7 linked regions of the Oryctolagus cuniculus genome follow. The protein of the gene in region 4 interacts with the protein of the main gene of each other region in a biochemical or structural test. Links are inferred from orthologs where the notes say so. Each region holds a gene or a part of one and is shown on either strand. Other genes may lie near its edges. The genes, in order: AKT1, CHD8, MAGI1, CTNNB1, TCF7L1, GSK3B and AXIN1.

Region 1 (3,500 bases), on a different chromosome or scaffold from region 4:
CCCCAAGCATTGTGTGGTGTCCCCGAGGCCAGAGCTGACCCAGGCCGGGTCGCAGGAAGCTAGCTAACCCTGTCACCCTGCTAAGGGCAGCCATCCCCTTCTCCCTGTCCCGGGCATGGTGGCCTGGAGCCTGGACAGGACCTGGGGCTCCGTGCAGCACCTCAGGGGCCACCACTGTGCTCCCAGCCCAGGGCTGGGTTCCAGGCTGTCCTGCAGGTGGGCCGGCCAGCAGTGGGGCGGGAGCGGGTCCCACCCGGGCATCTGCACCTCCTGATGGCAGCGCCTGGCTGGACCTGCCTAGAGGGCAGCTGAGCCTGCTGGAGAGGCCCTGGGTGGAGCCTGGCACCGCCACAGGTCTGAAGGGGGGGGGGGGCGCTGAGGAGACCCTGCGCTGGGCGCCAGTCGCTCCCTGCCAGAGGCCCAGGCCCCTCTGGACCTCGGGGTGGGCAGGTGCCAGTCTGCAGGTGTGCAGTGGCCTCTGCCCCCACCCTGGCGGGGCCGGGGGTCTCAGGTCCCACGTTGCTTTGGCTGAACTTAAGACGAGGGCTGTAGCCCAGGCACGGCGAGCACTGTGGGTCCCCATGGGCCTGCCTGGCCGGACGCAGAGGCAGAGGTGTCCCTCGGCCTGCTCCTGGCCCCCGTGGAGGGGTCTGTGTGCTGAGGGCAGCCCCCTCACCGACACTGGGGGTGGGGGCCCTGTGTGTGCCGTGTGGCGCAGGACCGAGATGGATTTCTGGGGCGCGCGCGGGTGCTCATCAGTCTCCCCGCTCGCTCAGCGTCCTGGGGAGCGGCAGCTGGTGGGATGGCAGGCACTCCATCAGGGGCCGACAGCTCCAGACTGGCGTGCAGGCGGGTGGGCACGGCGCCGGGCGGCCCGGGACGGGGGGGCTGTGCAGCCCCCAGAGCCCGCTCCGCTCGCCCCCTGGAGCCCCTGCCTGCCCCCACCTGCCCAGAGGGGGTGCCTGTGGTGGGCTGGAGCCTCTTCCCTGAGGGTCGCCCTTTGCTCCTGCCAGAGGCCCCGGTGGCCCCAGCCTGGCGGGGCGGGGTGGGGGCTGCCTCCAGGCTCTCCCAGGGGGGTCCTGGGTGGGGAGGGCGGCTGGCCCCAGGACCCTGCATACAACCCCTCCCAGCTGTGGGGGGCACCCTCATGAGGGGGCAGAACCTTGTCCTTCCCCCAAAGCAGCCCCCGCCGCACCTGAGCGACCGCCCCCTGCATTGTGGGGTGGGGCCTGTTAGCTGGCCTGCCCCCCTGGGCATCGGGGTGTGGCCTTACTCCACTGCTCTGGTCCTGCTGGTGGGCTGGCTGGAATCAGGCCCACCCCAGTCCAGGCACAGTAAGCACCCAGGGGTGCTTGGGGGGGCCTCTTAGAGCCCTGGGCTGTGAGGGGGGTGGCTGGGGTGCAGGTCCCAGCCCAGCCCGGGGCTTCCGGGTCCCATCTGCAAGTGTGTCCAGGACCAGGGTGCAGAGTGGCAGCTGCCGGGCACCTGGGGAGGGAGGGCCACTGCCCTGAGTGCCTTGCCCAGGGGACGCCTGCCGACCCGTGTCCTCTGAGCTCCTCTGGGGGTGGCCTGTCCCTGTGTCGTCCCCAGCTCTCAGCCCACAGTGAAGCAGCTGCCTAATTAGCAACTTCCCTGTCGTTCAGACTCTGTGCTCGGCAAAATGTAAATGAGGCGTTTTCTCGGGTGTCAGTGTGAAAAATGGCGCAGCGCGGCTCCACGGAGCATCTGCCGTGTCCCCGAGCGCCGCGGTACTGGGGGAGTCGGCCCCCGCGCCTGGACCAGGGGCTGTCCCAGGGTGGGCGGCAGCTCTGCCCTCGGCCCCAGGACTGTGCTGCTGGCCCTTCCTTGCCAGTGCCAGGCTCTGTCCTCTTGGCTGGAGGCCGGCTCAGGCCAGCAGCCACACCCTGGAGCCTGGGTGCCCGGCCAGTGCCTGAGCTGGGCACCAGCTGACCTACTGCCTCCCCCTCCAGGAAGGCCAGGTAGGTGGGCCCAGGCCTCCTCCCCGTGTCCCAGGTGTGCAGGTGGGCCTGGCCCCTTTCCGGCGCAGCGAGCCTGCCTTCCCGTCCCCCACCCTCTGCCTGGCGTAGCTGGCCAGCGACCTGGACAGGGGCCCTCACCGCCTGTGTCCTCACAGGGGAGTACATCAAGACCTGGCGGCCACGCTACTTCCTCCTCAAGACTGATGGCACCTTCATCGGCTACAAGGAGCGGCCACAGGACGTGGAGCAGCGCGAGTCCCCACTCAACAACTTCTCTGTGGCACGTAAGTGTCCCCTCGGCCACTCCGGGTTGGACGTGGGGCGGTGCCTGGAGTGGTCCGTGCCCTGTGGGACTGGGGGCCAGCCCTGGCTGGCGGGGGCCTGGGCCAAGCTGCATGGCTGTCCTGTGGAGCTGTTCCCTGAGCCTCCTGCCCAGAGGGGACAGCTCGGGCTATAGGGAGCCTCCAGGCTCTCCCAGGGGGGTCCTGGGTGGGGAGGGCTGCTGGCCCTAGGACCCTGCATACAACCCCTCCCAGCTGTGGGGGGCACCCTCAAAGCTGGCCAGTGCCACTTTTTCCCCTGCCTGGCTCCCCAGTTGTCCCTCCCACGATGCTGGCTGGGGCCGGGCAGGTCCACTGCCACTTTCTACCACCTGGCAGCCCAGCTCTGCCCTGGGGCTGGCCTGGGGCAGCTGGGGGCGATGGGCCTGCCAGCCGTGGGCCTCTGGGTTCTGCCCCTCCCTCTCCTTGGCCAGCACCCTGGGGTCCTCTGGCCCCTGGCCTTCAAGGGCCACCCAGGTTCTGGTTTGGGGGCTGCAGGGAGGTCTGGCACAGGTGGCTCGACCTGGGCGTCGCCCTGCCTGTGGGCATCTGCGTGGGGATGGGCTGCGGCACTGGCTGCTGGGTCATCCCTCCCGGGGCCCACTCTGTGCTAGAGGAGGGGCCTGGCCGTGGGGATTCCCGTGAGCCCCAAATGCCACCCTCCCCGGCCTCAGGCCCAGCTTCCTGGGCCGGAGGCCACCAAGGAGGCGCAGGCCAGTTCCCTGGAAGCCTTGCTATGCCCGCTGTGGGGGTGAGGCAGGAGGGGCCTCTGCAGAGGAGCCCATGGGGGCAGCGCCAGCCGGGGGCAGGGGGCGCTGCCTGGCCAGGGCGAGAGCCAGCGTGTGTGTGCGGAGGGCCTGTGTCCAGGGGCTCTGCCTTGTGGGAGGACCGAGTGAGCTTCCTGCCCGCACAGACACAGGCCGCCTCCCACCAGGCTGGGCCCCGGGCCCCCACGCAGCCCCTCGCCCGGCAGACCTGGCCCTCGTGGTTGCCAGGGTGCTGGTGCTGGAATGCACACGCTCCCCGGCTGTGGGCGTGCGTGCTACAGGCACACGTGTGGCAGGCGTGCGTGTTCCAGGGGCGTGTACTGTAGGTGTGCGTGTTCCAGGCGCGTGTACTGTAGATGTGCATGTTCTAGGCGTGTGTACTGTAGGTGTGCGTGTTCCAGGGGCGTGTACTGTAGGTGTGCGTGTTCCAGGCG
Region 2 (4,231 bases), on a different chromosome or scaffold from region 4:
TAAGGGGAAAAATTTGTAATGCAGGACAGAATTTAGACTGTAGCAAATGGTCAAACAAACTTTCAGGCAAAGAAAACTGTTCTTATAACACTTCTGTTACACAGGAATATGACTGTCAGTTTGGTTCTAGATACCAAGGGAATCATATCTTGAAAATCAGAATCTCTTTACATTCTTTAAAAGGTCTCACCTAGAGGCAGGCATTTGATACAGTGGTTAAGATGCCACATAGGACACCCACTGGGCTCCACTTCTGATTCCAGCTTCCAGCTAACATGCACCCTGGGAGGCAGCAGGCGATGGCTCAAATAGTTGGGATCCTGCCACCCATCTAGGAGTCCTAGATAGAGTTCCAGGCTCCTGGCTTCCTGGTTTCAGCCCCGGCTGTTGTGGAGATCTAGGGAGTAAACCAGTGGAAAAAATGTCTCTCTGCCTTTGAAATAAGTAAGTAAATAAAGGTCTGAGCTAAACAGGCAACAAAAGCACAATGTCAGTGAATGTTCAGTGACAGGACAGTCTATCAGTGAATCTAACACTAAAGGTAAAACGGTAAATACCAGTGTGGTCACAGTAGTACAAGGTCAGGTCATTCAACGACCTGAAGATAGGACTTGCTCAAATCCAAGTCCAGAAGTAGACCAACCAGAGGGTACAGACTCCAGAGAAATATTTGCCTTCAGTTTTTCTCCTAGGTGTTAGGTTCAATGAAAACTCAGAAGACAGCTTAACTCTTCCAGGGCTAATAGCAAACAGTATTGCTAAAGCATTTAGCATTCAACTCAGTGTTACAGGCCTTATACAGATGAGAATATCCAACTTCATCCTTTCCAAAACCAAGTGGTTTGGGCACCCACAGATTAATCTTAAGTGTTTAGAAAATTCTTATTCTTTTCAAAAATGTGTACAACGGTTTCTTTGAAAGAATGATCTTTCTTATCATCCTCCATTACCTATCAAAAACTCAATCCTTCTTATAAAGTCAATTTTTTTTCCTGTTACAATAAAATTCTGCAGTAGTATCACAATGCCAGAATTCCTCTACCTAATCATCCAGTGGTGCTACAGAGAAGGCCATCCTAGAACATACCAGATCTACATTTCCTAGTGATTCCCAACTAGTTAAACAAACGTATTTTCTATCCAAATCTAAATGGACTTTGTCTATCTGAGACCTGACAAAATCAAAAGATCAGAAAGCCAGGACGGACCAAATGTGGTTAAAGGTGTGAACTGTGTGGAGTACCCACCCCACACATTGCTCCCTCAAATCCCTACCCCAATGCATTACTCCTTTGCTGTTAGTTTTAAACCTCCCTCCAACGCTGTCTCTCCACACACATCTACCCTCTCTTTGGCAATGTCCTTCACCTTGTCTGGCAGGCCCACTGGCACTGCACGCTGGCAACAAAAGGTTTTCTTAAATGGCAAATGTTGCTTTTCTCCCAACTTCTTTTGAGGGCTGGGACAATTCCAAAATATTTGAATAAGAAGTTCTCCACTTCTGACCGTACAAGGTTGATCAGAATTTGTTCTGAAACCTACTGGTTGACCATTCCCAGAAAACCCTTCAACAGAAGATATTATCCAAATCACAAATTCACTTTCTAGTATCTGATGTGCCTCCATACCATAAGGGACTTCGGGCTACTGCCAAGGATAGCCCGAGACACTCGGACAGACTGAGGACATGGGAATGATCTGTGCATGCTGATGCGATGTGAGGGTGCAGCAGACGCTGCTCATGCAGCTCCCCTGGCTTAGGTGCAGGGCGCTCCACTCTCAATTCTTTAAAAGGAAATAGCATGGAGTCCTAAATCTGTGACTTCTGCCTCACTTCGCTCAGTCACCGAAGAAAGACTGGCCCACCATATATACCTCTTGTGCAAAGACCTCAGTGACTTCAGGGCCGCCCCTGAAGAGGCTTGAGCTGCTGCATTTGCACAGCTGCTGCAGTAGCAGACACTGGAGACAGGTAAATAAAGAAACTGCACCGGCTAGGAGGCAGGGGGAGGGGGCTTCTGCCGGTGAAGTTTATATAATGCAACAGAAAAGCAGTGAGCGCTGCAGACCTGTCAAGGGAGACCCGAGGCTTCAGCGGCTGTCTCCCCACCGTCTCCAAACACTCTCCGACAGCTTGCTCTTCACCACCCCACCCCACCCCCAAGACCCGGAGAAATCACTCCTACGCAAGAACAATAACCATCCACACGCGCTCACCTCAGGCTTTCCTACCCACCTTCATTATTAAAATACAAGAGAAGAAAAAAAGAAGAAAAAAAGAAAGCAGGAAAGGAAGGAGAACCCTAACCTCCCACTTCTGAGTTCAGAGTACGGAGTAACCAAACGGAGCCGGGGAGTTTTCCCTTCCTCGAACGGGGGAAGGAGAACAAGGCGCTGCCTCCGATCTGCACCACGCCCAGCAATGCAATGCCAAGCCCTAAAAACTCCACAGCGGCCCAAGCAGTCCCCTCGCGGCGTGGCCCTGCTCGGAGCCCGCGGCCCGGCAGCCGCCCTCTCCCCCAGCCTCTCACAAAGGAGAATGGTTCAGTCCAGAGCATCACCCAGCACCTGATCCCTCACAACTGGGAGACGGGGAGGGGTGGGGGGGGCGGGAGCCAGCGAAGTCATCCTAAGGACCTTCGCTTCTGCAAAAACTCCGGGAGCAGCACTGAGAAGTGGGTGTGAGCGGGAAGCCTACCTGAACTAGTCCGGGTTCCTCCTATCCACACTCAGCGTTTCAACTCACCCTCTCGGAGAACAAGGCGCCTTCCGGCGGAGCATGGCCAGCCCTCGCCTCAAGCTAGCTTGCTAGTAGTCCATTCTCCCAAGGCTCCGCCCACCTGCGCTCCCATCCACCAATGGCAGGGCCGGGGCCCAGCCTCTTCCAGCGGGCTAGGGTGAGCGCCATCCAGGAAGTCTCTTGAGAGTGGGAGGGCCTAGAAGGCTGAGTAGGGTACGTAGGCAGCCACGGATATGCCTGATTGGAAATAAAATCTGGCGGCAGATCGGCGCTGACGGCTCAGTTCACCGGCTGCCAGGCCTCTGGGCGTCCCTTTTTTTTTTTTTTTTTTTGGCCCCCGCCGTTGGGGGCGCTCTAACCTAAAACAACACTCAGTTGCCTGTTTCGGGGAAGCCATCTTGGATCGGCTGCTGCCTTGGGGCGGGGAGGGGGCAGGAGCGCCTTAAAAGAATGGGAAGGCCTGTTCGGCGTTCCGTCCCGCGCCTGAGCTCCGGACCCCGCACGCTCCTGCAGGCAGGATGTCCCGCAGTCGTGAGGAGGCGCTCTGGAATGATGCTAAACGTGGTTAGAGGCAGCCAGCGCTCGCCTCCCACCTATCTGTAGGAGAGAAGCGGTTTTATCAACGAGGCAAAAATTAATTCTTGGAATGAGGACGGGTGTGAACCAGTCTCTAGGGTAATTTTTTAGACACCTCATACCTCTGGGATTATCAACATATGACCGACATAGGTTGTGTATCTATTCTGGGAGTTTGCTTTACTTGCAAATTTTCCAGTGTTCTGACTTTGGCAATACAGAGAGCCCTGATTCAGGGAAGATTTTATTTACTTATTATTTAAAAGGTTTAAAACTCATCAATAGAGCCAAACTACTTGTGAATATAAATAAGGCAAATGATAAAGGATTTATGGGAAAAATTATACTGGTATCTAAGAAGGAGGACCGTTAGGTGACAACTTTAGAAACTGTGGCGCAGCAGAGCGAGTTAACGCCCTGGCCTGAAGCGGTGGCATCCCATATGGGCGCCGGTTCGAAGCCCAGGCGCTCCACTTCTGATCCAGCTCTGCTGTGGCCTACTCTGAGGTAGGCCCAAGTCCTTGGGCCCCTGCACTAGCGTGGGAGACCCTGAAGAAGCTCCTGGCTCCTGGCTTCGGATTGGTGCAGCTCTGCCCGTTGCAACCATTTGGGTGGGGGAGTGAATCAGTGGATGGAGGACCTCTCTGTGTAACTCAAATAAATAAATCTTAAAAAAAAAAAAAAAAAAAAACCTACTGGAGACAGCAATTTTCTAATAACTACTTTAAAATTGTAAGGGAGCCGGCGCCGTGGCTCAATAGGCTAATCCTCCACCTTGCGGCGCCGGCACACCGGGTTCTAGTCCCGGTCGGGGCACCGGATTCTGTCCCGGTAGCCCCTCTTCCAGGCCAGCTCTCTGCTATGGCCAGGGAGTGCAGTGGAGGATGGCCCAGGTGCTTGGGCCCTGCACCCCAT
Region 3 (3,500 bases), about 22 Mb from region 4:
AATGGAAGCGGATTCAGCAAGATTTTCCCTCCACCAATCTAACTCCTCTGCCTCGACTCCAATTTCCAAGATGGCAATTCTCAGCTCCTTTTAAAATATGTGCAACCCATGTCCACCCTTTGCCAGACCTGATTCCCTTTACCGGCCATCTGACAGTTATAAAGTGACTGGTGGAGAGTTTAATTTTCACAACAACCATCTCCTGAAAAAGTCTGAATGAGATCACAACCACAGCAGACCATGTGTTGCCTTAAAAAAAAAAAATCACTCCTTCACTTTATTACACCTACTTCATGTTCACTTTGTCCTAACCAAGGCAGCACACGAGATGCCTACCTGAATTTTATATTTTTAAGTACTAGAGGTTAAAAAAATATGCCCGTTTTCCAACTGGTGTTCAAGTTTTCATAAATATTTTCCATCATACCTGATTAAGTCAAATGTAATGTGTGTGTGTGCGCGTGTGCACGTGTGCGCGCACGAGCGCTTCAGTATAAGCTGCTTTTGCATATTCATGTCTCTCCCGATTTCAAGCTCCTGACTAGAACAGACCCAGTTCTTCTGACTTTGTTTTTGAAGTCTCTCCATGGCACATAGAAAAAATGTATCTAAATTTACAGAGTAAATGTGGCGCTCTCAACCAGTTCTTGCTTTATTTTTCTGATTTCCTTCATTTGTTCCATTAGGAATCTATAGTCTCTCATCTTGCAATTGCTTCTGTACAGGGTAATAACTTTCCGGAGTGGTGAGTTGGTGGAAGGGCCCCAGAACACACCATAAGTTCCTATCCACAACTTAGCAGGAGGAGGGAGAAGCAGACCACCATTCAAGAATATGCATTTTCCCTTCACCACCAGTGTGCTATTTTTGACAAAGTTTTTTGTTCTTGAAATCAACAACTTTCAAATATTTATTCTGAAAGTAAATTCCTGGAAAGTCCTGATTAGACCACTCAATTTTGAACTATAAGGCTCATTTTCTTAAAACTAATATACAAAATTATTCATTTGCTGAATAACTTTCACTGATCTTCTCCTTCTACAGATCCTCAGCATAGACTTTTTATCACAGTATCCATATAAACCACATTTTCCTCTTGAGGAAATCATACTTTGAGAATTTTATTTTATAATATCTATAGCAAGAATGAAAAAAAGTGAACACTTTGGGACGAGTATTACTTTTCTCCCGAGGACAAAGTCATCTTAATATGAAGGTCAACATTCAGGGCTTAATTCTTCAAGGAATCAATACTTATAGCTTCATTTTTATTAGATTTGAATAAGAGGATGAATATTGCTATTTTGTGCTGCATAACATTTCTATGGGAAAAGATGTGGTCTGACCAACTGGATGTTATTGGCACCCACTGCAGATGAAGCCAAATGTTCCCTGGGAGGTAGAATTCCACAAATGCAAAAGAACCCCAAGTCTGAATTAACCACTCAAGCAAAAGAGCACCTACCTGGATTAACAGACAAAATGTATTGAAAATATATATATTTAATTCTTTCTCTATACATTTGGAACAAATCAAGTAGGCATAAACCCTAAGACGCTCCTATTAAATACAAACTATTATAATTCATTCATTCAGAAAAAAGAAAAAAAAACATAATATTGGCTCTGCCTTGCCATTAACTAGGTTTTGTGATGTCATCATATTATATAGCTCAATTTTAGCTTATTGTTTAAAAAAATCCATATCTGATTTCTAGAGAGAACATCAAGTGATATTTCCTACCTGCACTGAAACTATTCTATTGAACATCAAAACCAAAATAAATGGGAGAGAGCTGAAGAATTTATGCAACTTTGGCATCCGCAGTAAGTAAGGGTCATGGGACTAGAGGATTAATTAAATAAGAAGGTGAGCTATAGTTTAGTAACAATGGTTCATGTTTGTTTGATGGGTATGTTTAGTGAGGAGTGGGTAGAGCTGCTTCTATGTCAACACTATCCAATTACATTAACACTAATGAGAGAGAGACCTGGAGAGACACACACACAAAGAGAAAGGGAAGAAGCGGGGGGGAGAGAGAGGGAGAGGGGGAGGGATAAAAGGTAGGCTTTAGTATACTTTACCATCCCCAGGAATGATGCGAAGGGTAACCGTGTTTCCTGCTTCCTTGATTAGGTTGACAATGTCTGAATGGGATTTGTTGGTGATGGAACATCCATTTACTGCCAAGATCCGGTCTCCTACTTTCAGCTTGCCACAGCGGTCAGCGGGGCTCCCCTCAATAATCCGACCTATTTTGTGAGGCATAGCCACACATGCATTGCCTGCTTTGATATCGAGTTTTAATTGTTTTTAAAGTTACGTGGGAATATAGTGAAGGGAGGAGAAAAAGGGTTGAAAAGGGAAAGAGAAGGTTAAGTGTTAATTAATTAAAGCATTAAGCAAATGTTATTCAAAGGAGAGCTCGGCGCCCATGGTCCGAACATTGGCGAACTCCTGGCTAATAAGGAGTGCGTCCCCGAAACCAGACATCACGGCTGCAGTCTTTCCTGATTCAACATGGACGGAAAACCCCAGCTTCTCTCTTCACAGCAATTACAAAATTTGGGAAATCTGGCAACTTCGGAAATTCTCTCAAGAGCCCCTAAATAACTCAGCGCCAGCTTATTTTGGGACTGCCAATGTGAAACCCAGAGGGAGGCTGGCTGCCTTCACTCATTGTGTGTTCCCATCACTTCATTTTTGCCAGCTGTTGTGCAAGCTTCTGCCAATGTTTAGTTCTTTTTCCCTTTAGAAAAACAATCCCTGGTTCTGTGGTGAGGCATGAGAGTCGGCTAGCACAGAAAATTCCATCTGCGAACACCTGATGGGCAAACACTGGCACTTGGTACCTTCTCTCCAAAGCTTTAGGCAAAGGGCATCATGACAACAGATGCACCAAGAGAACACCTAACGTTGAACCTCACTTTTCCTTTCAGGATCTTTGCTCAATCAGCCCATCCTGGGTGCTTCCAAGGTAGGGCTGGATTGGCTCTCATCACCTCTGAAATCTTGCTCCTGCCTCGCAAAGATAACCTTAAGGGAAGATGAAAATCAAGTACCTGATTCACAGTAAGGTTCGAATAATTCCCCAACCCTTTCCCTCTCATGATCGTCCTTTTCATCACCAGTTACCATATGCCCACATTAAGAAAAACCAGGAAAAGGGCATCTGAAGAGGAAGGCTGATTGTGTGAGCACTCTGAGGCACTCAATGCTATTGTTAACTTCTAGAGAGTGGTGGGCAACTGGCTCTGCAGCCTGGCGTTAAGTTTCTAGCTGACCATACACTGAGTTTGAAAGCTGTTCATGCAGGTTCACTTATTTTGAGAATTTGCCAATCTGGGGGACCATGAAATCAGTTACGCAGTTGAGCCACCTTTTGGAAAGGAAAATAAAATTAACATGGAAGACCTAGAATCTAAATAGGTTCTTCCACCTTGAGGGTAAGTCTAGACCTTGAGGGTAAGCTGTATAGGAAAATACACTTTAATTCCTT
Region 4 (3,500 bases):
AGAGCAAGCTGCCTTCCCTGCTCTACAGGCTCCAGTTCCACGTGCGGACACAGCTGCCCACCTCATTCCAAGCCATTGGCTCTGTTCTGAAGAGAGAACTGGTCAGCTCCACCGAAAGCCTCTTCTTATAATCCTGTGGCTTGTCCTCAGACATTCGGAACAAAACCGCAGCGGCGTACGTGGCTGGGAAAGGACAGAAACAAAAGGTCCTTAAGGAACAGGTGAGACTTCACCATACACGACAGCCACCACAGCCCTGGTTCTTTTTCTACTCACCAACACCTTCATTCCTAGAGTGAAGCAATTCTGTCAAAGGCGCTGTGGCTCCCTCCGCTTCAATCGCTTCTGCAGCCTCCTTGTCCTGAGCAAGTTCACAGAGGACCCCTGCAGCTACTCTTTGGATATTTTCAATGGGAGAATAGAGCAGCTAAAGAGAAAACACAAAACCTAATGAAAACCCAGAGTTAAAACACAGGCTATAGTCCCAATGTTTTCCTTTCTACTGACCAAAAAAATGGGTGTGTGAGGGGGCAATTTTCATAAAATTAAATGTTAGTTCCCCTATCTTTCTGGTCCCTAATTTTCTGAAACACAATGAAATTTTAGACATGTAAAATCTAGAACACCTCATTTAAAAATCAACATACCTGCACAAATAGTGGAATGGTATTTAGTCCTCTGATTACAATTCGGTTATGAACATCCCGAGCTAGGATGTGAAGGGCTCCCGTACAACCTTCCACTATTTCTTCCATGCGGACTCCCTCCTACCAGAAGAAACATGGTTAACCAACAGGACAGTCTTCTCTTTAAAGTCTGTAAATGGTTCTGAGCAGCAATTACTAGACTACAGTTGCCCAAAGCTCCCCGTAATTTTTGGTTAGTGCAGGAATAAAGGAGGATTCCCATTCACCTGAATGTCACCAAAAGGAGGCTTCCTAGTGGCACTACTGGTAAGCAACACCCCTCTGTGATACGCAAAGTATAGTCGGCCTTGTATCCTTGGGTTCCAAATCCACATTCAATCAACTACAGACCAAAACTATTAAAAGGAAAAAAACCTGCATCTACGGTGAACTATTTAGACTTTATTGTTTAGGGAATTATAAAGAGAACAAAGTATAACAATGATTTATACTATACTGATAATATAAGGAATCTGGAGATGACTTCAAATATATAGGAGGACATGCATTACTTGAGCATCTGTGGGTTTTGGTATCCAGAGAGGGTCCTGGAACCAATCTCCTTCAGATACTAAGGGCTAACTGTACAATTCCCATGGACCTCTGAATCCCAAAGTAACTTTCTTACAAAAGGGCACTGATCATTTTGACTAAAAAGTATATAAACAGAGAAGATACGTGGATGGGAAGTGATGTTCAAACTATGTTTTTACGGCATGTGCCCCTTCTAGTCCTGTATGTTTACATGTATTTGGTGAACAAAGTTTCATCACAAGAAACCCTACTCTGCAGGCGATTCTCCTACGGCCATTCAACAGATAGCCTGGATGTGAAGAAGGATGTTAGCTTCTACAAATGAAGTACCATCTGCTTCCTGTTTGAGTGGTTTTTCTTTCCGTTATCATTCTAATACTTTTAGTGGCGTTTTAAAAATAGAAACTTGACTTTTCGTGAGGACACAAAATCTCTGAGATTCAAAAAACCAGACAAGATATTCTTTGGCATTCTATTAAGGCACTCTATGGAGATGGGCTAACACCAAAAGCAGTGAACAGAAAGCCAAAGCCGGAGTGCAAATGAGTGCACACGCACACAGACCTACTGGCAAAATGGGATTATCAAACTCTGTCCTGGTAAGGTCCATGTTTCTTATTTAAAGGAGCCTAATTAGAGAAAACTTTTAAAAGGTTTGAGTCTTTAAAAAAATGTCTAAAAGGTGAGAAGTGTCCTTGTTTAACTACATGTGTAGTATGTGTTTTAATAGTCAACATCACAGCTTTAGGCTAAAAATATTATGGATCAAGACTGCATAAATGCTACTACTTATTTTGAATTCAGTATTACAGTTTTAAGTTCATGAAAACAGTTGTTAAAACTCTCATGGAAGAGAGAGTAAAAAGGCCTGTCAAATACTTTGGTGCAAAACTCAGCTTATAGTGGGGGATAAGAAACTCTTCCATCAGAGAGACTTCTATTCACAGTATGACTCAACTAGTACACTTCCTTCCTGAAGAGGTGAGCCTGTGTTGGGTGAGTACCAGTACTTCCAAACTCAAAGGCTGATCATGCATAGCACATGCCTAAGCAGCATCAGTGAGGTCCACAGGATCTCTGCTCCCACACAACACTGTCAGGTTTTTTAGCCATTCACACTCCTCTCAAGAAGGGCACTGGCAGAGCCAATAAGCCATGTAGCTCAGGATCCTCTGGACTTAGCTGGCCCTTTCTACCAAGATTCACCTACCACAAACTGCTGCTGTGTTCCACCCATGGATGTGCGACGCTGGGTATCCTGATGTGCACGAACCAGCAACTGAACTAGGCGTGGAATGGCACCCTGCTCACGCAATGGTGCATGATTGGCTGGACAAAGGGCAAGATTTCGAATCAATCCAACAGTAGCCTGCAGGTAAGAAAAATACAACTCAACACAATCATTTTCTTACCCGAAGTTTCCCACCACACTAAATCTATACGCCAACACTTCAGAATCCTACCTGTCCCCAGCCACATTTATTACTAAGAAATGTAATTCCTATTTATCAACCCCTTGGCGTAGATATCCATCCTATAGTTAGAGGCAGGTCATTTCCAGTTCAGCAGCATTCTACCTTGTTGATGTTTTACCTTTATCAGAGGCCAGTGGGATGGCGGGTGCAGGAGCTTCACCACAACTGGCAGTCCATAGTGAAGGCGAACAGCATTCTGGGCCATCTCCGCTTCCTGGTGTCGGCTGGTCAGATGACGGAGAGCACAGATGGCAGGCTCCGTGATGTCCTCCCTGTCCCCAGCACGAAGGACGGTGCGCACAAGAGCCTCTATACCACCCACTTGGCACACCATCATCTTGTTCTTATAATTATTGCAAGTGAGGTTAGAAAGAATTCCGGCTGCACAGGTGACCACATTTATATCATCTGAACCCAGAAGCTGAACAAGAGTCCCAAGAAGCCCTTCCATCCCCTCCTGTGGAGATAAAAACAGAGGCTTGGTACACATTCCCTTTGATTTCATCACAAAAGCACAGTTTCCTTAGGATTTACCTGTTTAGTTGCAGCATCTGAAAGATTCCTAAGAGTCCAAAGACAGTTCTGAACGAGACGTTGACTAGGATCGGTCAGGTGAAGTCCTAAGGCTTGCATTCCTCCTGGACAATTACAAAGCAGATACGGCAGTGGCTAGTAGGCTCAACATCCCCATCAGTCCTAAACACCCTCTGTAGTCCCTCCCTGAGTGTTTATATCCGGTCCCTTTCTATTCCACTTTATTTCATTAGTGACATTCTGTCAAACAGCTACTGTTCCCTTCCTCTCT
Region 5 (3,997 bases), on a different chromosome or scaffold from region 4:
ACCAGGGCACAAGACAGAGCTATAGGAGCGGGATGCTAAGTCCTCAAGAGAGGGCATGGTGGGTGTCGTGACTGCCCCAAAAGGGAGGATGACGACACTGGTCGGGGCAGGGAGCAGTTGCATGGATGAGTGAGGACGCAGAAAAGAAGGCTCGGCTTCCCCAAGGAGGGTCTCCAAATCCCACCCAAGCCAGGATCTGACAACCAGGAATTCCATTGCAGCCATCAGGGGAGTGAACCAGCAGATGGAAGAACTTTGTCTCTCATACTCGATGTCTGGAACCCTACCTCTCCAATAAATAAATAAAATCTTTAAAACAAAGAAATAAAGAAAATGTTTCACTTGGACTGTTTGACCGCGGGGCAGCAGACAAAGCAGTTGTCGCAGTCATGGTCCTAGATGTGAACTAGAAAGCTGGGAAGAATAAAACGCCCTCAAGGGAACCGGGTGTTAGAGGAACAACCTGCTGCAGAGGGACAGTCACAGCTGGCGACTTCCCCATCACTGGGACCTGGCTCAGGGCTCACACCCAAAGCTGGTGCTTGCTGGTCCCTCTCCACCCCCCTCACTCCCCGCTTCCTTCCTAATGGTAAACGTTAAAGCGGCATCTTAGCGGCACAGCTCTCCCCGCAGCCCCCAGCCCAGAAGTTTCAGCAGCTCTCCATCACCATTTGCAGGCACCAGTACCATAGCTGCCACAGCCTGTTGGGTTCCACTTTTAGGTGCACTTCTTTTCATCCGATTGGGAAAATGCAACAGCCCTTAGGCCCAAATGCAGCTTTCGCGAAAAAACGACACACTCAGAACTTCCCGGGATGCCCCAGTCCAGCAGGCCAAAGCGGTGCGGGCCATGTTGTACCACCCACTCGCCCTCCAGCAGAGCTTGTTCCCACACCCTGTCTTGCAACAAGAGCGCCTAACAGAAACCCGTCCCCGCGCCCCCCAACCGAGAATGGACTGGCACGGGCCCTGAGAAGCAAGGTGCGGAGCGACCCAGCGGCAGGACTCCGGCGCCGGGCGCACAGTGGGCAGGCGCTCACCCAGTTATCAGCCGTCGGCCCCAGCACCTGGGCAGGGAGCCTAGGGACGGGTTGGCGGCTCCGGGGACACAAAGGCTTCGCCCGTCTCAAGCTGTGCCCCTCGCAACGCGGGGGGCGGGAGTCGAGCGCCTGAGAGGGGGCGAAGGAATCCGCCCTCATTTGCACGTCGTCTGGGGCCCGGTCAATTTGCTTAATCACCGCTCTAAATGCCAGCGCGCAGCACACAATGCGCGCCCATTAACAGGTTTAAAGTGTCCCAGCGCTCGCTTTAAATGAGAAAAGCCGGCAACAAAAGGGGGAAAAAGCCAAGTTCCTCAACTTGAAGAATGCTTCGGGTCGCCCTCGGGATTCTCTCGGCCAGTTTAAAATCCAGGGCTCCGCCGCAAAGTTGAGGCCCCGGCAGCGAGGGCTTGGGGGCGGGAAACGGGGTTGGGAATAACCCGCCACCACCACCGGGTTTCTTAGGAACCAGCTCACAGCCACCCAGTGAACTCGGGGAGCCGAAGCAGCGTCGCCAGCCCGGCTTCCCCAGCCCCCTGCCCAGCTGCCAAGGAAAGCTGACCGAGTTCTAGAAAGGAAAACGAGACCCCCAAAGCAGACACTAAACCCAAGCTCTCCTCTGCGGCGGGCGGACTCCCAGAGGTCAAGGAGGATCCCACAGGTGGGGCCCCATAGCCTCAGCCCGCAGCAGGGGAGAAGTTACAGCAACTTTCCTTCCATCCAGGCAGCGGCCAGCGCAGCCGCCCCAGAGCCGCGCAACTCCGCAAACAAGTTCTGCCCGCGAGCGGCGCAGGAGGCCCCATCCCCCACGCCACGGCCGGGCCGGGGGCGCATCCCACCGGCCCAGGTCCCCAGCCGCCCCGGCGCAGCTTGACCGACGCTTACCGTGCGCGCTCCTCCCGGAGACAGGGGTCCGTTGGAGAGGTAGGGGCTGCTCAGGTCCGGGATCATCAGGAAGGGGTACCCAGGGTAAGGGGGGCCCTTGAAGAACGCGCCGTCCTGGGGCCTTCTCACTGAGGACAAGACCAAGGTGGGGTGAGGCCCGGGTCCCCCGGACAGCGCCACGGCACGAGGAATCCCACCCCCGCCCCGCAAACCCAAGCGCCCCCGACGCGCGATCCAAGGAGGCCGCAGGGCAGGGACTGGTCACTCCTGCAAGGGGAGCGCGGGCCGCGCGAACCGAGGTGCGCGGCGCAGCGGCGCCGGGAGTCGAGGCTGGCCAGCCGGGCACGTACCTTCGGCGAAATAGTCCCGCGGCTTCTGGAAAGCGTCCCGGGAGGGCTGCGGGCGCCTCTCCGCCTGCGGAGGAGACACAAAGGCGAGGGCGGGTGAGCGAGCGCTGGGCCGGGGTCCCCCGGGGGCCGGCCGCGGGCGCCTCCTTACCTCCGAGTCCGAGCTGCTGCTCTGGTTCTCCGACTCATTGACCAGGGACGACTTGACCTCGTCTAGGTCCCGCTGCGCCGAGGCGCTGTCGCTGCTCGGCTCCTGCTCCTCGCCCCCCTCGTCCTGGAAGGGGATCAGCTCGTCGTTCGCTCCGAGGTCGTCCCCTCCGCCGGCCGCACCGGCGCCCGAGCCGCCGCCTCCCCCGCCGCCGCCGCCGCCGCCACCGCCGCCGAGCTGGGGCATGGTGGGGCCGCGCGGGCCGGGGCCGCTGCTCTCCGAGCCCCTGGCCGCCCGCGCCCTGCCCGGCCCGGCCCGGCGCCCCTCCTTCCCGCTGGCCGGCCCGCTCCGCTCCGCTCGCCGCCGCCGCAACAAAGTTTTGACAGGGCGTGGCCCCGCGGGAAGCGGGCCCGGCGCTGCCCGGCCGGGGCGGGGGCGGCTCGGCTCGGGCCCCTGCGGCAGCGCCGAGCCTGGGGCTCCCCAACTCGCCGCCGCCTGCTCCGCCGGGGCGTCCCAGCGCCTGGCCCGCCGGGGAGGGGCGAGCGGGGAAGGAGGGAGGGACCGCGCGGCCGGCCAGGGGGGCCGGAGGGAGGAGCCCGGCTGCAAGCTGACACCCGCGCGCCCGCGGAGCCCGGAGAGCCGGCGCGCACACTGGCGCTCGCCCTGGCTCCCCGCTCGCTTGCACCTTCCGGGGGCTGCGTCGACCGCGCCGGCGCCCCCTGCCCGCCAGCCCCAGAGCCCGGACGGCCCCGTCCCCGCCCCTTCGCAGCCCCTCAACTTTCTTGCCAAGAGCCCCCAGACTTCTGCGCGAAGTCGCGCCCCTCCCGCCGTCCGAGCGGCCGGCACTGCCCCCTGCGGGAAAGCCTCGGCCGCGCAGATCCGCCCCAGCGCCCGGCGTCCCGGGAGCGCGGGGTCCCGGCAGCCCCGGGCGCCGCCGCCGGATGCGCAGAGCCGGGGACGGAGGAATTCCTGGCGCTCGGGAACGTGGCGGGCGGCCTCCCGCCCCCACCCACCTTTCCTGACGGGGTCTCAGCGCGCCCCGCGCCCCAGCCCGGCTTTCCCACTAGATCCGGGTTTCCAGTCAGCCTCGATGAGGTCCCCAAGATGACTCTTTCCTCTGTGGTTGGGAATTAAGTCCTAAATCGAATAATCGCTCTCTTGGGTTTAGAAGGGATTCGAATTCGCTTCATTACGAGGTAGAATTATCTGACCAGTGACTGCCGAAGCCGTGTACTTGGCTAACTCGGCAGCACGTGAACGTGAAGGAGGCTGCCCAGACGGCTTCCAGGCAAAGAAACGCTGTCACAATGAATGATAGTAAGATACCAACCCTCTGCAGCCAGTTCGGAAAGTCTGAACAACACTTTCCCTCAACCCGCACTAGCCTTGCTCACCGGCATCTGTTGCTGAGAGCAGACTGGAAGGCAGCGGGGGAAGAGCCGAGACCGCTCCAGACCCAGCCGACAGAGAGGACTTCCCTGCGCGTGGAGAGAGCCAGGTCACTCCGAGGGAGACAGGGAAAATGAACCCTGTGACTTCCTTACAGTGAGAATCCACGTGGAACCACCCAGGCAGAA
Region 6 (4,078 bases), on a different chromosome or scaffold from region 4:
AGTTCCAGCTCCTGCCTTAGGCCTGGTCCAGCCCTGGCTGTTGTGACCATTTGTGGAGTGAAGCAGCAGATGAGAAGATCTGTCTCTCTGCCTTTCCAATAAAATTAAAATAAATAAAGTTTATAAAAAAAAAAAACTGTTCAGAGCTCTCATGAATGTCAAACTTTTTCAGACCCCTTGCCCTCTGTCAGCTATCCTTCCAATATTTCTCAAATTTTACCTGTTATTTTCCTACTTAGGCTTTTATAATTCAGATTTACCAGCTTATTTATTGCCTCTCCTACAAAACTCACCATCTCTGTGCCTGGAGTCCTTTCACCTAGAATCTTTCATGCTTCTCCACCAATTCAAGACACAGCCTTCTTTAACACCTGTCTTAAAAGCACACCTTCTCTACAGGAAGCCTTCTCCCTCCAATGCATGTCTCACCCCTTTATTCTTTGTCCCTCTGAACAAAGGATTCAATTTGTATTTTGCCTTGCAGTCGTAATGCCATTGTTTTCATTGTTTTTCCCATAAATTGCCTCTACTACTAAGTGACCAGCTTTTTTTGAAGCCAAGGACTATAATTTCATATGTATCTCTTTTGAACATGGGTCCTGAAAACACCAGCACCTAACAAATGCCTAATGACTCCCCTTTCTTCTAAATATCCCTAAAGCTAGGCTTATCAAAAATGCATATTCAGCAATAAATTCCAACTTTTTAAATATTAAGTTGAAGGACATGATAACAGAAAATCAAACATTTTAACCTACATACTTTACAAAAATCACACCATTCTTGGTCAACATGTATGCCATCAAGAATTAAGGAGTCATCTTCAAAGAAAATCCTAGAAACAAAATATAAAATCCCAGAATTTAGCATTATACACTAGCATTATAGATCTCTGAAATACATCTAATAATTATATTCCTAAAACTGACTTTCAGTGTTTTTTAATTATTACCAAGATGTAAAACATACAATCACTGCAGTATCACAAGAGGCTCTTAATTAGCTATTGTAATATTTGCTTCATCATAGCTAAAAATTACCCCCAGAATAAAAAACTTCTTTCAAATGACCCCATGAAGGGCTTAGAAAGCATGACCCTTCTCTAAAAAGATGCATAATCAGCTTCCCTCTTTACATACTCTGCATTCTCTACTAGCTAGTCACTGAAAAAAAAATTAACTCAAAAATAATCTCCCATTCAGCTATTACCTTGGACTATCCTGTTTCAGGCAAGTTCCAAAAGCCAAAGTGATTGGAATCTTGAGTTCAATTAAAAGTAAACATTTTATATTGCTTAAGGATGTAATCAAGTCCACATAACAGAATCTACTGTTTAAGGCTCTTCAGTTCTCTTAGCTCCTCTAGGCAACAAAATAGTTTGCCCTCTTCATGCCCCTTTCTCAGAGAATAAGGAAACAATATAAACATTTTTTTTTGTCAAAATCTGGAAGTATATTTAAATAACCTGCCATTAATTGCCACACAAACCCCTTCACAAACAGAGCTCTGTGGGATCACTGGATACTTAGTATAACAAACACCTCAAGAAAACAGACTTTGTGAAAGTACAGTCTGGTAACAACCCTGAGACCACATCCCAGACAGCCCTACCATTTCCAGAAGGACAACCTTCTGCAAAAACTATGATGGAAAGGACTAAATCTATGTTCCTCTAACTAAATTCAATCTTATCTACAAGAAAACTGATGCAAGGATATTTTAAGTATTCCTAAAAAGGAATCCTCTGTACTCTAGAATATTTTAACAAGTAACAAATGCAACAGCACGTCAAAATTGAACTTAAATGACAATGAGTCAGTGACAATTAACATTTAACTTAGTATCTGGCATTATGACAACATACGCCTCAATCAAAACTTGGACCTCCTTCCAAGTTACCTTTTGATTAAACAAATTATATGGTGGCAGATTGGTAATGCCAAAACAGGAAGGTTAAGAGATAACAGATTAAACCACTTATCCAATTCAAGACAATGTATTTGGAGATGCTACTGCTGCTGGATATTTATCTGTTCCCATCAGCCCCTTGTAAAGGGAGGGAGCGATGATCACCTCCACACATGAATGCTGGTTACTGAGCAAGTTCATCCCCAGGTTAAGAACAAATACTTTGTATAGTTACACCAGCACGAAGAGAAACGTTAGGAGACTGGGACATTTCATGTCTCCATGAAGTACACAAAGCTGTGATAACCCGAGACTTGAGCTAACCAGAATTTCCTCCCTCGTTCCAAAAGACAAACACTCTGCAAATGCACATAATGGTTTATGAGTCGTTTAGTCCTCTTTATTCAAAAGGGTCGGCAAGCAAACGCTTCCATCACAATTTCCAAGTGGAAACACCCAAGCACTGGATAAAGGCGACCATCAGTAGCAAGGAAAGCACAAGAAACGTTTCAAATCGAATCATCGAAATAAAAATCGTACTCTCTGAACTCAAGGTTAATGAGACCGAGGGAGGGGGTTATGGGAGGAGAAAAGAGGGAGCTGCCTCATCCTCGACTGAAGACAGGTCTTGCTCTTTTCCATTAGCTCTGGTGAGTGTTCCATCAGGTCTAGTATGTTAAGGTTCTAGGACTTCGAGGTTGCTTATTTTAGGGGTGAGACGGAGAAGGGGTGTAAAATAAAATCAATACTCACTGCTAACTTTCATGCTGCCAAAAGCTGAAGGCTGCTGCACTGGCTTGCAGCTCTCCGCAAAGGAGGTGGTTCTGGGCCGCCCTGACATGATCACTCTCTTCCCGAATCACCTTTTCCTTCCTTCCTCCTTTTCTTCCTTTTGTTTTATATTGGGGTGTTAGGTTAATGATAAATGCAGCATTAAGTTCTCCCACAAGAAAGGAAAAAAAAAGACTTCGTCCTCTTGGCTTTTCACTTCTTTTGTATAGCTATATTAAAAAAAAAAAAAAAAAAAAAAAAAACACGAGCGATGTATTCTCCTTCAAGACGGATCCGTACGGATATTTAACATATAGATGATTTGGGGCTGGGGGAGGGGAAAAAAAAAACACAATTCTTTCCCCTCCCTTTCCTGGGAGGGGGGACTCCTTAAAAAAAATCACGTGAAATGGGGACAAATACTTGATTGAAAATAAGTACTTTGGATTTTATATTTTCCTCGGGGATTTTTTTCCGAGTCAATGAAGAAGGGAAGCGGCGGAAGGATCACGAGTCTCACGCTTGAAGAGAAGGGGGGATGGGAAGGAGGGAGGGAGAGGGAGGGGGCGGCTCGGAGATGCGACGGGAAACGCTGCGGCTCCGGCAGCGGCGGGATCCGGCGGGGGCCCGGCGTCCTGGAGGGCGGCGGCGTCGCGAGTCAGTCAGAGGCGGGCGGCGGCGGCGGCTCCTCTCCTCATTGCGCCAGGAGCAGCTGCAGGCGGCGGCTGGATCCAGCGGCCATGGCGGCGGCGGTGGCGGAGGCAGCTCCCTTCAGACCCCAGGCAGCGGCTCCTCGACTGCTCCCCATACGCCGGGGACATGGGAACCCGGCAACCGCTTCCGTCTCCCTCGGGGCCCCCTCCCCCGTCCAAAGCACCAGCGCGGCCGCCCTCACGCCCCGCGCCTCAGCTCCGTGTCCGCTGAGGAAGTGTCCGTGCTGTGCCCCCAGTCCGGAGCCCTGTCAGCGGCTGCGGGGCCGGCTCCTCCTCGCTTCCTTCCTTCCTTTGTCACTCGGCCCGGGCGGCGGCGGCGGCAGCGGCAGCGGCAGCACAAACCCGCATTCGCCCGGGTCGGGGGCTGCTCTGTGTGAGGAGCTCCGTCTGCGCAGCCGCCTAGCGCCTTCCCCCCTCCCCCTCCCTCTCCCCGCCTCCTACTCGTCCTCCGCCTCCTTCCTCCCCCACCCAGCCTTATACCGCCCCGCGCCCCGCCGCCCGCGTAACAGGCGTCTGGGAATCGCCGGCCGAGCCCAACGCCCGCCCTCTTCGGCGGCGGAGCCGAACCCCCAGCGAAGCCAATCACGGGCGTCGTTTCTTTACGGCTCCTCCCGGAAAAAGCCGATCGGCCTGAAGAGCCAATTAGAATGGGCCCCCGGGAAGCCTCGCCTAGAGAGCGGAAAATG
Region 7 (2,662 bases), on a different chromosome or scaffold from region 4:
CTCCCAGTTTCTGGACAGCGGGGGCGAGCTGCCCGCCCCCACCGAGGAGCCTGCAGCCCCCGTGCCGGTGGGCACCCCCGCCCAGGGGTCCAGGCCTCACCCTGAGCCCTGGCCCGGCAGGCAGGCAGGCAGGCAGGCAGGGCAGCGCTCTGAGCTGGCCTCTCTGCCTCTCTCTTCTCTAGGAGCCACCGGCCAACTCCACGGTGGAGCCCAAGGAAGAGCTGTAGGCGGCCTGGCCCCCTCCGCACCCCCTCCCGGGGCGGCCCGGCCCCCTCCGCACCCCCTCCCGGGGTGGCCTGCTCCCAGCTGTGAATAAAGAGGTTGAGTTCTGGACGTGTGCGTGGTTCCTGGGCCCCTGGGCAGAAGTCGAGCCAGGCCCAGGGGGTCCCTAGTCCAGAGCCGGCCACTGCGCCCCAGGGTCCCCCCGCTGTGCCAGGAGCTGGCCAAGGACGTGTGCCCTCAGCAGGCCCCTGCAGCGAACAGGTGTGTTCCACACCAGAGCAGGTTCAAAAACTTTTATTTCATTATTATCCAAGTACCTTTGAAAAGACCATTGTACAAGTCAGCGCATGAAAAACGGGCCTGGGAACTGTACATATTTACACGTGGCCAGGGGCTGCAGGGCCGGCTCCGGCGCGGCTCTCACAGTGGCAGGCGAGAGACGGCTGGCGGAAGGCACTGGGTGGCACGTACAGTCCAGAGACGCGCGGGGACTCCTGGGCCGGGCCAGCCGAGCGGGGACACCAGTGGCCGGCCAGACTCTCCGAGTATTGCTATGGGAAGTGGATGGGCCCCTCCTGGGGCCGCACGGGGCAGGCGGCTGTTCGTCAGCCAGACGCTGGCTGCACACAGGCAGCTCCTGGAGGGCTTCCGGGAGGCGGCCGCCCCGGCGCGGGCTCAGTCGACCTTCTCCACCTTGCCGACGACCTTCTCCTCGAAGACGGGCAGCACGGCCTCGTCTTCGCGCACCTCCTCGAACACCACTCCACAGTCGAACTCGTCACTCACCTTCTTGAAGTAGTATCTGTGGGGGCGGGGCGGTGAGGGCGGAGCCCGGCAGGAAGGGGCCTGCGGGTGCCCAGCCCGGGGTGGAGGCCCTGTCCCTGAGCCCGCGGCCTGCTGCCCGGGGCCTGGTGCGCCCTCGGTTCCTGCAAGGCCTGCTCAGGGGCCGGTCGTGGGGGACAGGCTGGACCTGGAGGCCACGGGGCTGGCCCGGGTCAGAGCACACAGGACCGCAGCCCCACGCCTGAGCCTGTGCTCCCACCTTCAAGAGGAGAGCCCAGAAGTGGGCGCGGGGGCCCTCAGGCCCCGTCCTGCAGCTGCTCCGTGGGAGGCTAAGTGGAGGAGGGGTCACCCCAGCCCCTTCGAGGCTCACCTGTAGCTGCCCTTCTTGGTCAGCAGCTCCTTGAACTGGCCCAGGGTGACAGCACGGCCCCTGACCAGGGTCCGGTAGGGGATGGGCTCCCCGCAGAAGTAGTACGCCACCACGATGCTGTCGCACGCCTGGCTGCCCCCGCCGGCCCCCTTCCGCTGTGACTTCGTCCTGAGGGCAGAGACGCTGGTGACCTCTGGGCTGTCGGGGCTGCATGGGTGCCACCCACCCCCGCAAGGCACAGATGGCCGGGGCGAGCACGCCGTGGCCCCCGCGCCCAGCTCGCTCCCCCCGTCACGTGGACACTCGTGCGCAGCTTCCCAGGCCAGGAGGCAGGGGTCCACCCGCTCTGGGTGGAGGGTGGGCTGTGCTACCCGGCAGCCTCACGCACGACGTAACCGCGCCTGCCCCACAGCAGAGGGCCTGCTGCCCGGGCCGACAGCCTGACCGCTGGCTGCTGTCTCCTGTTCCCAGGCGAGAGCTGTGCCCTCACTGGGCCCGGCCCCTCCTCCTGCTGGGTGCACCTGAAGCTTCTAGGGCCCGAGTCCTGGCCGTCAGGCCGCGAGGGCCCCCTCCACCCTGTCCGCTTCGCAGGCCTGGGACCTTTGCCCAGGGCTGGGTTCAGGAAGGCCGCGCAGGGCGAACCCTGGAGCAGAGGCTCTGAGCGCACGCAGCAGCCCCTGGGCCTGGTAGGGGTTTGTCAAGGGTCAGCGTGGTGAGGCCCAAGGCTCAGGGGACGCCCACATGGAGGCCCTCTCGGGGCGACCCCAGCCCGCGGCTGTCTTGAAAGGCGCAGGCACGCCCGGTGTCTGGCCGGCACCACCTGCGGCAGCGGTCCCAAGCTCCCCCTGGCCGCAGGCCCCGCCGTGTTCCAGACGGGCAGAGCGCGGTCTTCGGTCAGGCAGGGCTGGGAGGCTGCTGAGACGCCCGCATCGGCCAGAGGCCTCCCGTCACCCCGTGGCCGCTCGTCACGGGTGGAGACGGGGACGGCTCTGGGGCGGCCTGAGGCCTGACCCCGCGGGGGCTCCTCCAGCCGCAGCCGCTCCGTGTCCCCGGAGCAGCAGCACAGGCCCTGGTGGGAGAGCCCTGGGGCACACGTACTCTGTCTCGGAGAGCTCCGTGTCCGACACGGCTGGCACCACGCTCAGCACAGGCACACACGCGGGCCTGGCGCAGCTGCGACCCCGCTGCATGACCTCCTGCACATGCCTAGGGAACAGCCCGTGTCAGCGGGGACGCGCCCGGTGACGCCACGCCTCCTTCCAGGCCACGGTGGGGCCAGAGGCCCCA

What was found.
Region 1: of the proteins of CTNNB1 (region 4) and AKT1, one has a biochemical effect on the other in vitro, tested with the Homo sapiens proteins (2 studies listed by BioGRID). The link is inferred for Oryctolagus cuniculus from reciprocal best matches to the Homo sapiens genes CTNNB1 and AKT1.
Region 2: the proteins of CTNNB1 (region 4) and CHD8 form a complex in vitro, tested with the Homo sapiens proteins (3 studies listed by BioGRID). The link is inferred for Oryctolagus cuniculus from reciprocal best matches to the Homo sapiens genes CTNNB1 and CHD8.
Region 3: the proteins of CTNNB1 (region 4) and MAGI1 form a complex in vitro, tested with the Homo sapiens proteins (2 studies listed by BioGRID and IntAct, with this or other methods). The link is inferred for Oryctolagus cuniculus from reciprocal best matches to the Homo sapiens genes CTNNB1 and MAGI1.
Region 5: the proteins of CTNNB1 (region 4) and TCF7L1 are reported together in a solved structure, tested with the Homo sapiens proteins (2 studies listed by BioGRID, with this or other methods). The link is inferred for Oryctolagus cuniculus from reciprocal best matches to the Homo sapiens genes CTNNB1 and TCF7L1.
Region 6: of the proteins of CTNNB1 (region 4) and GSK3B, one has a biochemical effect on the other in vitro, tested with the Homo sapiens proteins (11 studies listed by BioGRID and IntAct). The link is inferred for Oryctolagus cuniculus from reciprocal best matches to the Homo sapiens genes CTNNB1 and GSK3B.
Region 7: the proteins of CTNNB1 (region 4) and AXIN1 form a complex in vitro, tested with the Homo sapiens proteins (2 studies listed by BioGRID). The link is inferred for Oryctolagus cuniculus from reciprocal best matches to the Homo sapiens genes CTNNB1 and AXIN1.

The regions. Positions count from the first base shown.
Region 1 is NC_091451.1:46,976,398-46,979,897, reverse strand, and holds part of AKT1 (RAC-alpha serine/threonine-protein kinase), read left to right. Parts: intron 1-2,134; coding exon 2,135-2,263; intron 2,264-3,500. UniProt on the Homo sapiens protein: AKT1 is one of 3 closely related serine/threonine-protein kinases (AKT1, AKT2 and AKT3) called the AKT kinase, and which regulate many processes including metabolism, proliferation, cell survival, growth and angiogenesis.
Region 2 is NC_091443.1:53,484,804-53,489,034, reverse strand, and holds the start of CHD8 (chromodomain-helicase-DNA-binding protein 8), read right to left. Parts: upstream 2,801-4,231; 5' UTR 2,699-2,800; exon of another isoform or gene 2,477-2,698; intron 398-2,476; 5' UTR 231-397; coding exon 191-230; intron 1-190. UniProt on the Homo sapiens protein: ATP-dependent chromatin-remodeling factor, it slides nucleosomes along DNA; nucleosome sliding requires ATP. Acts as a transcription repressor by remodeling chromatin structure and recruiting histone H1 to target genes.
Region 3 is NC_091441.1:84,208,541-84,212,040, reverse strand, and holds part of MAGI1 (membrane-associated guanylate kinase, WW and PDZ domain-containing protein 1), read right to left. Parts: intron 2,290-3,500; coding exon 2,086-2,289; intron 1-2,085. UniProt on the Homo sapiens protein: Plays a role in coupling actin fibers to cell junctions in endothelial cells, via its interaction with AMOTL2 and CDH5. May regulate acid-induced ASIC3 currents by modulating its expression at the cell surface.
Region 4 is NC_091441.1:106,476,750-106,480,249, forward strand, and holds part of CTNNB1 (catenin beta-1), read right to left. Parts: intron 3,334-3,500; coding exon 3,230-3,333; intron 3,153-3,229; coding exon 2,814-3,152; intron 2,590-2,813; coding exon 2,431-2,589; intron 768-2,430; coding exon 648-767; intron 428-647; coding exon 277-427; intron 184-276; coding exon 62-183; intron 1-61. UniProt on the Homo sapiens protein: Key downstream component of the canonical Wnt signaling pathway.
Region 5 is NC_091433.1:117,471,410-117,475,406, forward strand, and holds the start of TCF7L1 (transcription factor 7-like 1), read right to left. Parts: upstream 2,801-3,997; 5' UTR 2,667-2,800; coding exon 2,424-2,666; intron 2,340-2,423; coding exon 2,276-2,339; intron 2,054-2,275; coding exon 1,926-2,053; intron 1-1,925. UniProt on the Homo sapiens protein: Participates in the Wnt signaling pathway. Binds to DNA and acts as a repressor in the absence of CTNNB1, and as an activator in its presence.
Region 6 is NC_091435.1:76,548,021-76,552,098, forward strand, and holds the start of GSK3B (glycogen synthase kinase-3 beta), read right to left. Parts: upstream 2,801-4,078; 5' UTR 2,750-2,800; coding exon 2,662-2,749; intron 1-2,661. Other genes in the region: transcription factor SOX-4, read left to right, coding at 3,162-4,078. UniProt on the Homo sapiens protein: Constitutively active protein kinase that acts as a negative regulator in the hormonal control of glucose homeostasis, Wnt signaling and regulation of transcription factors and microtubules, by phosphorylating and inactivating glycogen synthase (GYS1 or GYS2), EIF2B, CTNNB1/beta-catenin, APC, AXIN1, DPYSL2/CRMP2, JUN, NFATC1/NFATC, MAPT/TAU and MACF1.
Region 7 is NC_091450.1:34,342,523-34,345,184, reverse strand, and holds the end of AXIN1 (axin-1), read right to left. Parts: intron 2,582-2,662; coding exon 2,474-2,581; intron 1,544-2,473; coding exon 1,376-1,543; intron 1,025-1,375; coding exon 898-1,024; 3' UTR 501-897; downstream 1-500. Other genes in the region: PDIA2 (protein disulfide-isomerase A2), read left to right, coding at 1-67, 183-227. UniProt on the Homo sapiens protein: Component of the beta-catenin destruction complex required for regulating CTNNB1 levels through phosphorylation and ubiquitination, and modulating Wnt-signaling.